3 linked regions of the Callithrix jacchus genome follow. The protein of the gene in region 2 interacts with the protein of the main gene of each other region in a pairwise test. Links are inferred from orthologs where the notes say so. Each region holds a gene or a part of one and is shown on either strand. Other genes may lie near its edges.

Evidence for each region.
Region 1: the proteins of FLNA (region 2) and RFLNA interact in a two-hybrid assay, tested with the Homo sapiens proteins (2 studies listed by BioGRID). The two-hybrid records come from large-scale screens. The link is inferred for Callithrix jacchus from reciprocal best matches to the Homo sapiens genes FLNA and RFLNA.
Region 3: the proteins of FLNA (region 2) and PELO interact in binary tests that used the Homo sapiens proteins (3 or more experiments, as listed by UniProt). The link is inferred for Callithrix jacchus from reciprocal best matches to the Homo sapiens genes FLNA and PELO.

What each region holds. Positions count from the first base shown.
Region 1 is NC_133510.1:127,496,507-127,500,156, reverse strand, and holds part of RFLNA (refilin-A), read right to left. Parts: intron 1,123-3,650; coding exon 1,013-1,122; intron 1-1,012. UniProt on the Homo sapiens protein: Involved in the regulation of the perinuclear actin network and nuclear shape through interaction with filamins. Plays an essential role in actin cytoskeleton formation in developing cartilaginous cells.
Region 2 is NC_133524.1:150,150,590-150,154,239, reverse strand, and holds part of FLNA (filamin-A), read left to right. Parts: coding exon 1-235; intron 236-317; coding exon 318-491; intron 492-575; coding exon 576-738; intron 739-814; coding exon 815-975; intron 976-1,066; coding exon 1,067-1,237; intron 1,238-1,587; coding exon 1,588-1,711; intron 1,712-1,797; coding exon 1,798-1,954; intron 1,955-2,479; coding exon 2,480-2,669; intron 2,670-2,828; coding exon 2,829-2,852; intron 2,853-3,650. UniProt on the Homo sapiens protein: Promotes orthogonal branching of actin filaments and links actin filaments to membrane glycoproteins. Anchors various transmembrane proteins to the actin cytoskeleton and serves as a scaffold for a wide range of cytoplasmic signaling proteins.
Region 3 is NC_133503.1:157,029,672-157,032,210, reverse strand, and holds the end of PELO (protein pelota homolog), read left to right. Parts: 5' UTR 1-386; coding exon 387-1,112; intron 1,113-1,397; coding exon 1,398-1,829; 3' UTR 1,830-2,031; downstream 2,032-2,539. UniProt on the Homo sapiens protein: Component of the Pelota-HBS1L complex, a complex that recognizes stalled ribosomes and triggers the No-Go Decay (NGD) pathway.

The DNA of each region.
Region 1 (3,650 bases), on a different chromosome or scaffold from region 2:
ACTCGACAGGGACAGGTGGATAGAGAGAGCCCCACAGATATATGGGCAAGACTCTCAGACCCCACACCCCACCTCTGGGCAGCCTGAGCCCCAGCAGCTTCAGATGTGGTGAGTTCCCAAGCAGGAGCGACTTCATTCAATTCATATGCCACCTAAGATGTCATCTGCCTGGGAGGGCACCCAGTACATCTGCAGTGCAGTAGCTCATGGGTGGCCTCAAGGACCTAAGTTATAGTCACAAAGAACATGGAGCAGCTGAGTGTCCCCCTAACACGTGGATGACAGAGCGGAAAGGGGTCCTGAGTTGCCTGAATGGTTTGGCTGTGAACACCTAACAACCTGTCAGGGGCCAGGTGCAGTGACTCACACCTGTAATCCCATCACTTTGGGAGGCTGAGGCAAGAGGATCACTTGAGCCCAGGAGTTGGAGACCAGCCTGGGCATCATAGTGAGACCCCATCTCTACAAAAAATACAAAAATGAGCCAGGCATGGGGGCTCACACCTGTAGTCTCAGCTGCTCGGGAGGCTGAGGCAGGAGGAATGCTTGAGCCCAGGAGGCTGAGGCTGTAGCGAGCCATGATTGCACCAATGCACTTCAGCCTGGGTGACACAGTGAGATCCCATTTCAAAAAAAAAAAAAAATCTGGCAGGAAAAGGGAAGGAGACATAGGGTGCATGAGTGGTTCTGCTTATAATTTTCCAGATTTTCTGGGATGTTGGATTTAAGATAAAAAGAGAAGGTAAATGGGGAAATGTCTGAATAGGCCTGGGGTGGGGTGTGGGGTGGCTACAGGGGGTCCCTTGGGGTCAGAATCTTAAAGTCAATTTTGTCTCTGGCCAACACACGGCCATCCTCCCCAGGACGCAGCACCCAGAGGGGCTGCCTAGACAGTAGGGAGCCTCCTGGGCCCCCTACCCTGGCCTAGTTCCCACCCCCACCCCACAGGAGAGTCAGGACCAGCCACCAACCCCCACCCCTCCTCCAGCACAGAGCCCAGCAGCCCACTCACCGGATCTCGTGCGTGGGTTCCGGATTCACTTTGATGGTCTCCCCAAAGACCACCGGCAGCATCCGGGGCCTCATCTCGGACGCGGGGGGACGTGAGGGCTGGGAGGGGGCCTGTGAGGAGAGCCAGGGATGCAGGGTTATGCAGCCCCTTGTGGCAGCGGCTTCAGCTCCCTGCTGGGCACACAGGACCATCTGACACCCTGTGGCCCTGGCTTGGTTTGGGAGCTGTCTGTGGGGCCCATCAGGAAGCCCGCCCAGAGCCCTCCCTGGGATCCAGGCATTCGGGGATCTGCCCAGCTCCCCACAGCCAGCCTGCCCCCCAGTTCCCAGTTCTCAACAAGGGGCACGGCCATGGCCACGGCAGCATCCACCTCTTTTAGAAATGGCACCGCATGTTCCCGAGGACTGGTAACCCACACTGGGCCAGTGAGAGCCCAGAGCTGTGGGGACAGTCCCCCCACCCTCCGCCAAGGGAGCTAAGAATGTGGGGGCAGGGGGTGGAAACCATGTGGAAATAGAGCTACACTGAGGAGAGCAGGGGTCAAAGACGGTGAAAGATCAAGTCTTGCCAACATTGTTCAAATGCCTGGGTCAAGCCACACCTGAAGCTGTCCCTAACTTGTGAGCACCAGCAAATCCATTTTGAGGCTTCAGACCATTTGAGCTGCCTTTCTGTCACTTGCAGCTAGAAGAATCTTGGCAAGGTGGGAAAGAGAGTTCTATGGGAAGAGAAACCACCCGCAGCCTCTTCAGAAAGAGCCCCTCAGACAGACACAAAGAAAGCACTTGCTATTCCCCTCCCCAGCCCACCCCACAGCTCCACGCTGGGAAGTTCTTCCTCTGGTCTGTTTTAAAATCTGTCCGAAAATTCCACTCCCTGTGGAAGCAAAGACCTTCAAGGGCATGCCCCTGCCTGGAGCTTAGGAAGAGGCTTAAGGACCCCACCCTATCCTTCGGTCCACCTCCCGCGCCCCCAGCTCAGCCCACTGCTGGTTCAGCCTCAGACTGGTTCTGGAAACGCAGGCTTCAGGCCCTGCAGTCTCTCCTCAAGCTAACTCCGTGACACGCTGCCCTCCCCCCAACTCTTCCCTCCCGAAGAGCTCCACCCCACACAGACTCAGCTCACCGGCCATCCCCCTCTGCCACCAACCCAAGAAAGCCCTGTCCATGTACACTTGGGCGTCCTTCAGGGCCAGCCCAGCAAAGTGAGACCTTGAAGTAGAGATTTCACCTGGGAGGACCAGGAGGCTCTGCTCCCAAAGACTTTTTTTTTTTCCCCCAGGACAGGGTCTTGCTCTGTCACCCAGGCTGGAGTGCAGTGGTGCAATCACGGCTCACTGCAGCCTCAAACGATCCTCCCACCTCAGCCTCCCACACAGTGGGCACTACAGGTGCATGCCACCATGCCCCAGCCAATTTAAAAGATGATGTTTGCAGAGACAGAATCTCACTATGCTGTCCAGGCTGGTCTCAAATTCCTGGGCTCAAGTGATTCTCCTAACTTGAGCTCCCACAATGCTGGGATTGCACGTGTCAGCCACAGTGCCCAGCCCCTAAAGCTGTTTAAGGCTGCGCTAGATGTTCTCCTTGGGTGCTGCTGGGACACTCAAGTCATGGCCAACCCACGAGGAACACGTGGTGAGAGCCAAAGAGAAGCCCTGCTCTTCAATGCCACCGAGATTGGGGTTGTGTGTGACACAGCATCCCCTCCCCTTCAGGGACAGCAGGGGGCCTGCAAGGCTGCTCCCTAGGCCTCTGCTGGAACTACACGTGCCCGCACCAAGGGCTCAGGGAGGTGAAGGACAGGGCTTTAAAGGACCCGCCTACTTTTCAGATATCTTGTTCCTCACTGGGGCCGTGCAGATTGGACCAGAGCATATGGCTAGCACCACGCCGGAGAACGCAGGAGTGCACATGTGAAGACACGCCTGTGGACACGCCAGAGGTCTTCCACCAGCGCACTCACTGCGCTCCTACTGTGTGCTGGCCCTGCGCTCTGTACTGCTAGTGTAGACAGAGGGCCTTCTCGCCTGGTGGAGCTGCCTGACTCCCGCTACTCTCAACAGTGTCCTGCCAATGGACTAAGATGCCAACTGCGGTCGTCAGGGTGCTGCGGGCATGAGAAGGGGTTGACCACCAGGTAATGGGGAGTGCCACTCAGGATGTGATCCTGGGGTGAAATTCACTTGCGGTCCCACAGGCCACAGGTCCTGCACTTTACTGTGTCCTGGAGTCCCCCATTAGGCACCGGGGCCACACAGCCACAAACATCACCCAGGACACCCGCACACTCTCAGCCCTGCCCCCCCGCCCCGTGCATGGGCTCTAGGATTCTAATACAGAGGCCACTAGCCACATGGGGCCGGTCAACTTCAATCCATCACAGCTCAGCAGGATGAAAAACGCCATCCTCAGTCCACCCTCCACACGTGGGCAGCTGTCTTGCTGGCCGGGGCGGGTCCAGAACCCGCTCACTGTCACAGCAAGCACCCTGCACCAGCTGCCCTGCGGGGAGGCAGGCCGTGGGTGAGGTTCCCGCCGGCAGCCCAGCCCAGCCCAGCCCCAAATGACCACTGCATGTTGTATGCTGAGACCCTCGAAGAAGAGGCTCCAAGACGTCCCCACCAACAGCCCTGCTC
Region 2 (3,650 bases):
GCAGAGCTGACCATCGAGATCTGCTCAGAGGCAGGGCTACCAGCCGAGGTGTACATCCAGGACCATGGCGATGGCACGCACACCATCACATACATTCCCCTCTGCCCTGGGGCCTACACTGTCACCATCAAGTATGGAGGCCAGCCTGTGCCCAACTTCCCCAGCAAGCTGCAGGTGGAGCCTGCAGTGGACACTTCCGGCGTCCAGTGCTACGGGCCTGGGATTGAGGGCCAGGGTGAGTGGCCCTGCTGTGCGGTATGTGGCAGTGGGGATATAGGGACCAGAGCCCCAAGTCTCCTCCCTGTGTCCCTTTGCAGGCGTCTTCCGAGAGGCCACCACTGAGTTCAGTGTGGACGCCCGGGCCCTCACACAGACTGGAGGGCCACACGTCAAGGCCCGTGTGGCCAACCCGTCAGGCAACCTGACAGAGACCTATGTGCAGGACCGCGGCGACGGCACCTACAAAGTGGAGTACACCCCTTATGAGGAGGGTCCGTGCCGGGGCTCCTGCAGGCCGGTGGGCGGGGTGGGTATCGCAGCCCGGACTCCTCCTGACCTGGCCTGCACTCCTTTAGGACTGCACTCTGTGGACGTGACCTACGATGGCAGCCCTGTGCCCAGCAGCCCCTTCCAGGTGCCTGTGACCGAGGGCTGTGACCCCTCCCGGGTGCGTGTCCATGGGCCGGGCATCCAAAGCGGCACCACCAACAAGCCCAACAAGTTCACTGTGGAGACCAGGTGAGGGGGCCCCGGGTGCCCGTGTGGCCGCTGGACCTGGGAACCCCGAGAATGAGCAGCTGTCTCTTTGGACCAGGGGAGCTGGCACAGGAGGCCTGGGCCTGGCTGTAGAGGGCCCCTCCGAGGCCAAGATGTCCTGTATGGACAACAAGGACGGCAGCTGCTCAGTCGAGTACATCCCCTATGAGCCTGGCACTTACAGCCTCAACGTCACCTATGGTGGCCATCAAGTGCCAGGTGAGGAGGTGGCGGCCAGCGCAGGGCTGGGACTATCTGCTTGTCCCCACCCTGTCTCATATAGCCACCATGCCTTTGCCCCACCCCTCAGGCAGTCCTTTCAAGGTACCTGTGCATGATGTGACAGATGCATCCAAGGTCAAGTGCTCTGGACCGGGCCTGAGTCCTGGCATGGTTCGTGCCAACCTTCCTCAGTCCTTCCAGGTGGACACAAGCAAGGCTGGTGTGGCCCCACTGCAGGTCAAAGTGCAAGGGCCCAAAGGTGAGTGTTTGCATGCCTGGAGCTGGGAGTCGGGAAGGAGACTGCTAGTGTGCAGGTGTTCTTGGAAGAGCCTCACATGACAGTGCAGCCAGGAGGGGGACTGGGAGGAGGTAGAACAGATAGGACTTTGTCACTTAGCAGATGTGGCAGGACGGCACGCAGGCAAGGGTCCCAGCTGGCACCCAGATGGGCGTCTTTTGTGCCAGAGAGGGTCAGGGCCATTCCCAGGGTCGGGCTGATGGGGATGAAGCAAGGTCTAGGCCTGGGGCTGAGTCTTGGCCATTGAGAGGCGGGGTAGGAGTGGAGGCCCAGGATATGAGCTGAGGCTGTGTCCCTGGGCCTGGGGCTAGGCCTGGTGGAGCCAGTGGATGTGGTGGACAATGCTGATGGCACCCAGACCGTCAATTACGTGCCCAGCCGAGAAGGGCCCTACAGCATCTCAGTACTGTATGGAGATGAAGAGGTACCCCGGAGGTAAGAGGCAGGGCCCGCTGCCTGAGGGGAGGTCCAGGCTGGATGCCTAGAGCCTATCTAACTGCTCACGACACCCTTGCCCACAGCCCCTTCAAGGTCAAGGTGCTGCCTACTCATGATGCCAGCAAGGTGAAGGCCAGTGGCCCTGGGCTCAACACTACTGGCGTGCCCGCCAGCCTGCCCGTGGAGTTCACCATCGATGCAAAGGATGCCGGGGAGGGCCTGCTGGCTGTCCAGATCACGGTGAGCTCCAGGCACAGGCAGGGGAGGCAAGGGGTCTGGGCCTGGGTGGCTGGAGTGTGGGCTGCCGGTGGCGCAGGCTGGCGTCTGGTCTCCCTGGGGCACTGCACCAAGGAGGGCAGGGAAGGACAGGGCCACAGCCTTTGGCTTGCTAAGGTTGTAACCAACTTAGGATGGTGGCGATAGGCCTGGGCTCCCCCAGACATGCACTTGCTCACTGCTGACTTTGAGCACATTACCAAAGCCTTTTGTGCCTCAGTGTCCCTACCTGTAACATTCTCATGGGGCAGGGAGAAGCCTGAGATCACCTGGGTGTGCTGGACAGGACCTGGGGCTGAGGATGGGTGCCAGGCTCCCTGGCCGTGCCTGTTGTCAGTGGGGGGTGTTGGATGTTTTAGTCTCCCTTGTGGACTCTGCCTGTAGGGAAATAAAGGGCAGTTGAGAGGCCTGGGGCCCAGAGGCTATCCCTGTAGCAGCGGCGCTGGCCACTCCGGGAGGCCAACTGTCTCCCCTGCCTCTGCCACACAGGACCCCGAGGGCAAGCCAAAGAAGACACACATTCAAGACAACCATGACGGCACCTACACAGTGGCCTATGTGCCAGACATGACGGGTCGCTACACCATCCTCATCAAGTACGGTGGTGATGAGATCCCCTTCTCCCCATACCGCGTTCGCGCCGTGCCCACCGGGGACGCCAGCAAGTGCACAGTCACAGGTGAGCCAGCCTGCCGTTGGCCGCCGCTGTGCTCGGCACGGGGCTTGGGTTGTGCCTGTGTGCAAGGGCTCGCTGCTTGGGGCGGCGTGTGGGAGTGGGGGCCGCCCCCTTGAGTGACTCACCTGACCTTTCTCCTTGCTCTCTGCCCTCTCACCTCAGTGTCAATCGGAGGTCACGGGCTAGGTAAGCTGCTTGCTGGGGCCACTCCCAATGCCCCTCCTGTCCAGAGGGGCAGCTTCCTTTCCTCTTGGGGCCAATTCCCAGGACAGTTCCAGCTGCAGCTCTAGGCAGGGATAGAGTGGGGGTGGGGGGCACAGAAGATGAGGCCATGGGCGGGAGGGCGAGGGCCCAGGGAGGCTTCCGGAGCTGAGCATGATCGCTCCAGCCCTCCCCTCTCTGGGCCTCTATTTCCCCATCTGAGAACTCGGGTTGCAGCTGAGAGCTTTGGGGTGAGGTGCATCCTGAGAGGCACCCCACTGGGGACTTTGGGGTCTCGGGATCTTGGCACCCAGGGAAACACAAGGGCTCCTGCGTGGGCTGAGGGAACAAGGGGTCTCCCCAACACAATGGGAGCCCCAGCCCTGGCCAGATCCACAGACTCCCATCCCCACCTTCCAGGGGCCTCTGTGTCCCGGGCTGGGGGAGGTGCATGAGCGGGTGGGGCTGGCTGGTAGTGCAGTAGCACCAGTGTTGACTGCTTGGGCGGCCAGCATGGCGGGGCGCAGCCCAGCCTCAGAGCCCCAAAGTGCATTCTGTGGCCCGTCTCCCTCCTTCCCCCTCCCTGATCCCCCAGCAGTGACGTTATTCAGACATTCAACAGGGACACCCAGGGATGCTGATAAGAGTCTGCAGGCCTGGCACTTGGGCAAGGTGGCCAAGGAGAGGGTTAGAGGGTGGCTAGAGTTTTGTGGCAGGAGCGAGGTGGCTTTATAGAGCAGGCCGTGGGGTCTGAGGTGACAGGCGTGTGTGTGCAGGGCAGGG
Region 3 (2,539 bases), on a different chromosome or scaffold from region 2:
TGCGCCCGCAAGACCTACGGCCCCGCCTCTCCGTTGGGGACGTGAGACGTGCGACTAGGCGCGCGACGCGGACTGCGCATGCGCCTTCATTACATCAGCCCGCTGCTCCATGCTGCCAACGGGAGCAGTGGAGAAGACGCTGTTCGCCGCTGTGTCTCCCGCGCCTGTTAGGCGCAGCCCGCCCGGAAACCCAGAGACGAAAGGATAGCGGAAGTGCTCTCCTCGGCTGTATGAGTAGAAGCAAGAGTATCTTCTTCCCGCCAGGCAAGTACCCGTAGGAACCGGGCCCCGCCCCCTTCCCGCCCTACACTCTCATCCCCTCTCCCTGGGCGGAGGTGAGGACCTCCTTGGCTCCTCTAGTTCTGTCACTGAGCCCCTGCTAGGCCATGAAGCTCGTGAGGAAGAACATAGAGAAGGACAATGCGGGCCAGGTGACCCTGGTCCCCGAGGAGCCCGAGGACATGTGGCACACTTACAACCTCGTGCAGGTGGGTGACAGCCTGCGCGCCTCCACTATCCGCAAGGTACAGACCGAGTCCTCCACGGGCAGCGTGGGCAGCAACCGGGTCCGCACTACCCTCACTCTCTGTGTGGAGGCCATTGACTTCGACTCTCAAGCCTGCCAGCTGCGGGTTAAGGGGACCAACATCCAAGAGAATGAGTATGTCAAGATGGGAGCTTACCACACCATCGAGCTGGAGCCCAACCGCCAGTTCACCCTGGCCAAGAAACAGTGGGACAGCGTGGTTCTCGAGCGCATCGAGCAGGCCTGTGACCCAGCTTGGAGCGCTGATGTGGCAGCTGTGGTCATGCAGGAAGGCCTCGCCCATATCTGCTTAGTCACTCCCAGCATGACCCTCACTCGGGCCAAGGTGGAGGTGAACATCCCTAGGAAAAGGAAAGGCAATTGCTCTCAGCATGACCGGGCCTTGGAGCGGTTCTATGAACAGGTGGTCCAGGCTATCCAGCGTCACATACACTTTGATGTTGTCAAGTGCGTCCTGGTGGCCAGCCCAGGATTTGTGAGGGAGCAGTTCTGCGACTACATGTTTCAACAAGCTGTGAAGACCGACAACAAACTGCTCTTGGAAAACCGATCCAAATTTCTTCAGGTAAAACAATCTTACCCAGGGATAGTTAAGAACGGGCAGAGGGATTTGTATAAACTACTACTAAAGTTTTAGAACTAGGAAAAATGAGAAGAGAAAGTCTTTTACTTAGCTGAGATTATCATGAGATAATGAAGTAAAAAGAGAATGTTAAATGACTACGTAAACTTTGCTGAATTCCTTAAACATATAAAGCCTTGTTAGTGCTTTTGGCTTTAAGCCTTTGTGGGCTGATTAATGGGTGTTCTAAGAGATTATTTTGCCTAACTTTTGTAATTGTGATTTTAGGTACATGCCTCCTCCGGACACAAGTACTCCCTGAAAGAGGCCCTTTGTGACCCTACTGTAGCTAGCCGCCTTTCAGATACTAAAGCTGCTGGGGAAGTCAAAGCCTTGGATGACTTCTATAAAATGTTACAACATGAACCAGATCGAGCTTTCTATGGACTCAAGCAGGTAGAGAAGGCCAATGAAGCCATGGCAATTGACACATTGCTCATCAGCGATGAGCTCTTCAGGCATCAGGATGTAGCCACACGGAGCCGGTATGTGAGGCTGGTGGACAGTGTGAAAGAGAACGCAGGCACCGTTAGGATATTCTCTAGTCTTCACGTTTCTGGGGAACAGCTCAGCCAATTGACTGGAGTAGCTGCCATTCTCCGCTTCCCTGTTCCTGAACTCTCTGACCAAGAGGATGATTCCAGTTCTGAAGAGGATTAATGATTCAAACTTAAAATTGAGACTATCTTGTGTCTCACTCCTAAACTATTACAGTACATTTCTCAGCATCCTTGTGACAGAAAGCTGCAAGAGTGGCACTTTTTGATTCACACAGGGATTCTTATGTATTTGGTTACACTAGATATTTTGTGATTGGCAAGTCATGTATTTAAACAATAAACTAAAAAATAATCACCACGTACTACCATTTTTATTAATTAATTTTGTATAGGAATAATGAGTTATTTGTAGTACTTGGAAACAGAAAACGTGTATTTAATAACATTGCCTATGCAGTATGTTGTTTGGGATAGATCATGAAATTTCATACTGCATGCTTTGAAACAGTTTTCCTTAGAAAAAGTATTTGCTACCTTATCCTCAGTTTACATCATTTATTTTAATTCTGCATGGTATTCTTGCATTGCATTTAATGATCCCTCTTCTCCCCACCTCCACACACTGCATTTTTTTTTAATTTAAGGAGTTTTACTATTTTAAATGATTGCCATGCAATTAATAGACTCAAAGACAAGTTTTAAATATTTTTCTTAAAACATGTTAAACCAGTCACGTTGACAGGAAATGCTTGGTTTTGTTTTGTTGTCTTTAGAATTAGTCATATTTGATTTAGAGGGTCACTTAATTCGTTGTTTTTAGATTTTAGAGCTTTGATCTGCTAGGGATTGTCAAAATAATCTTTTTGAGGC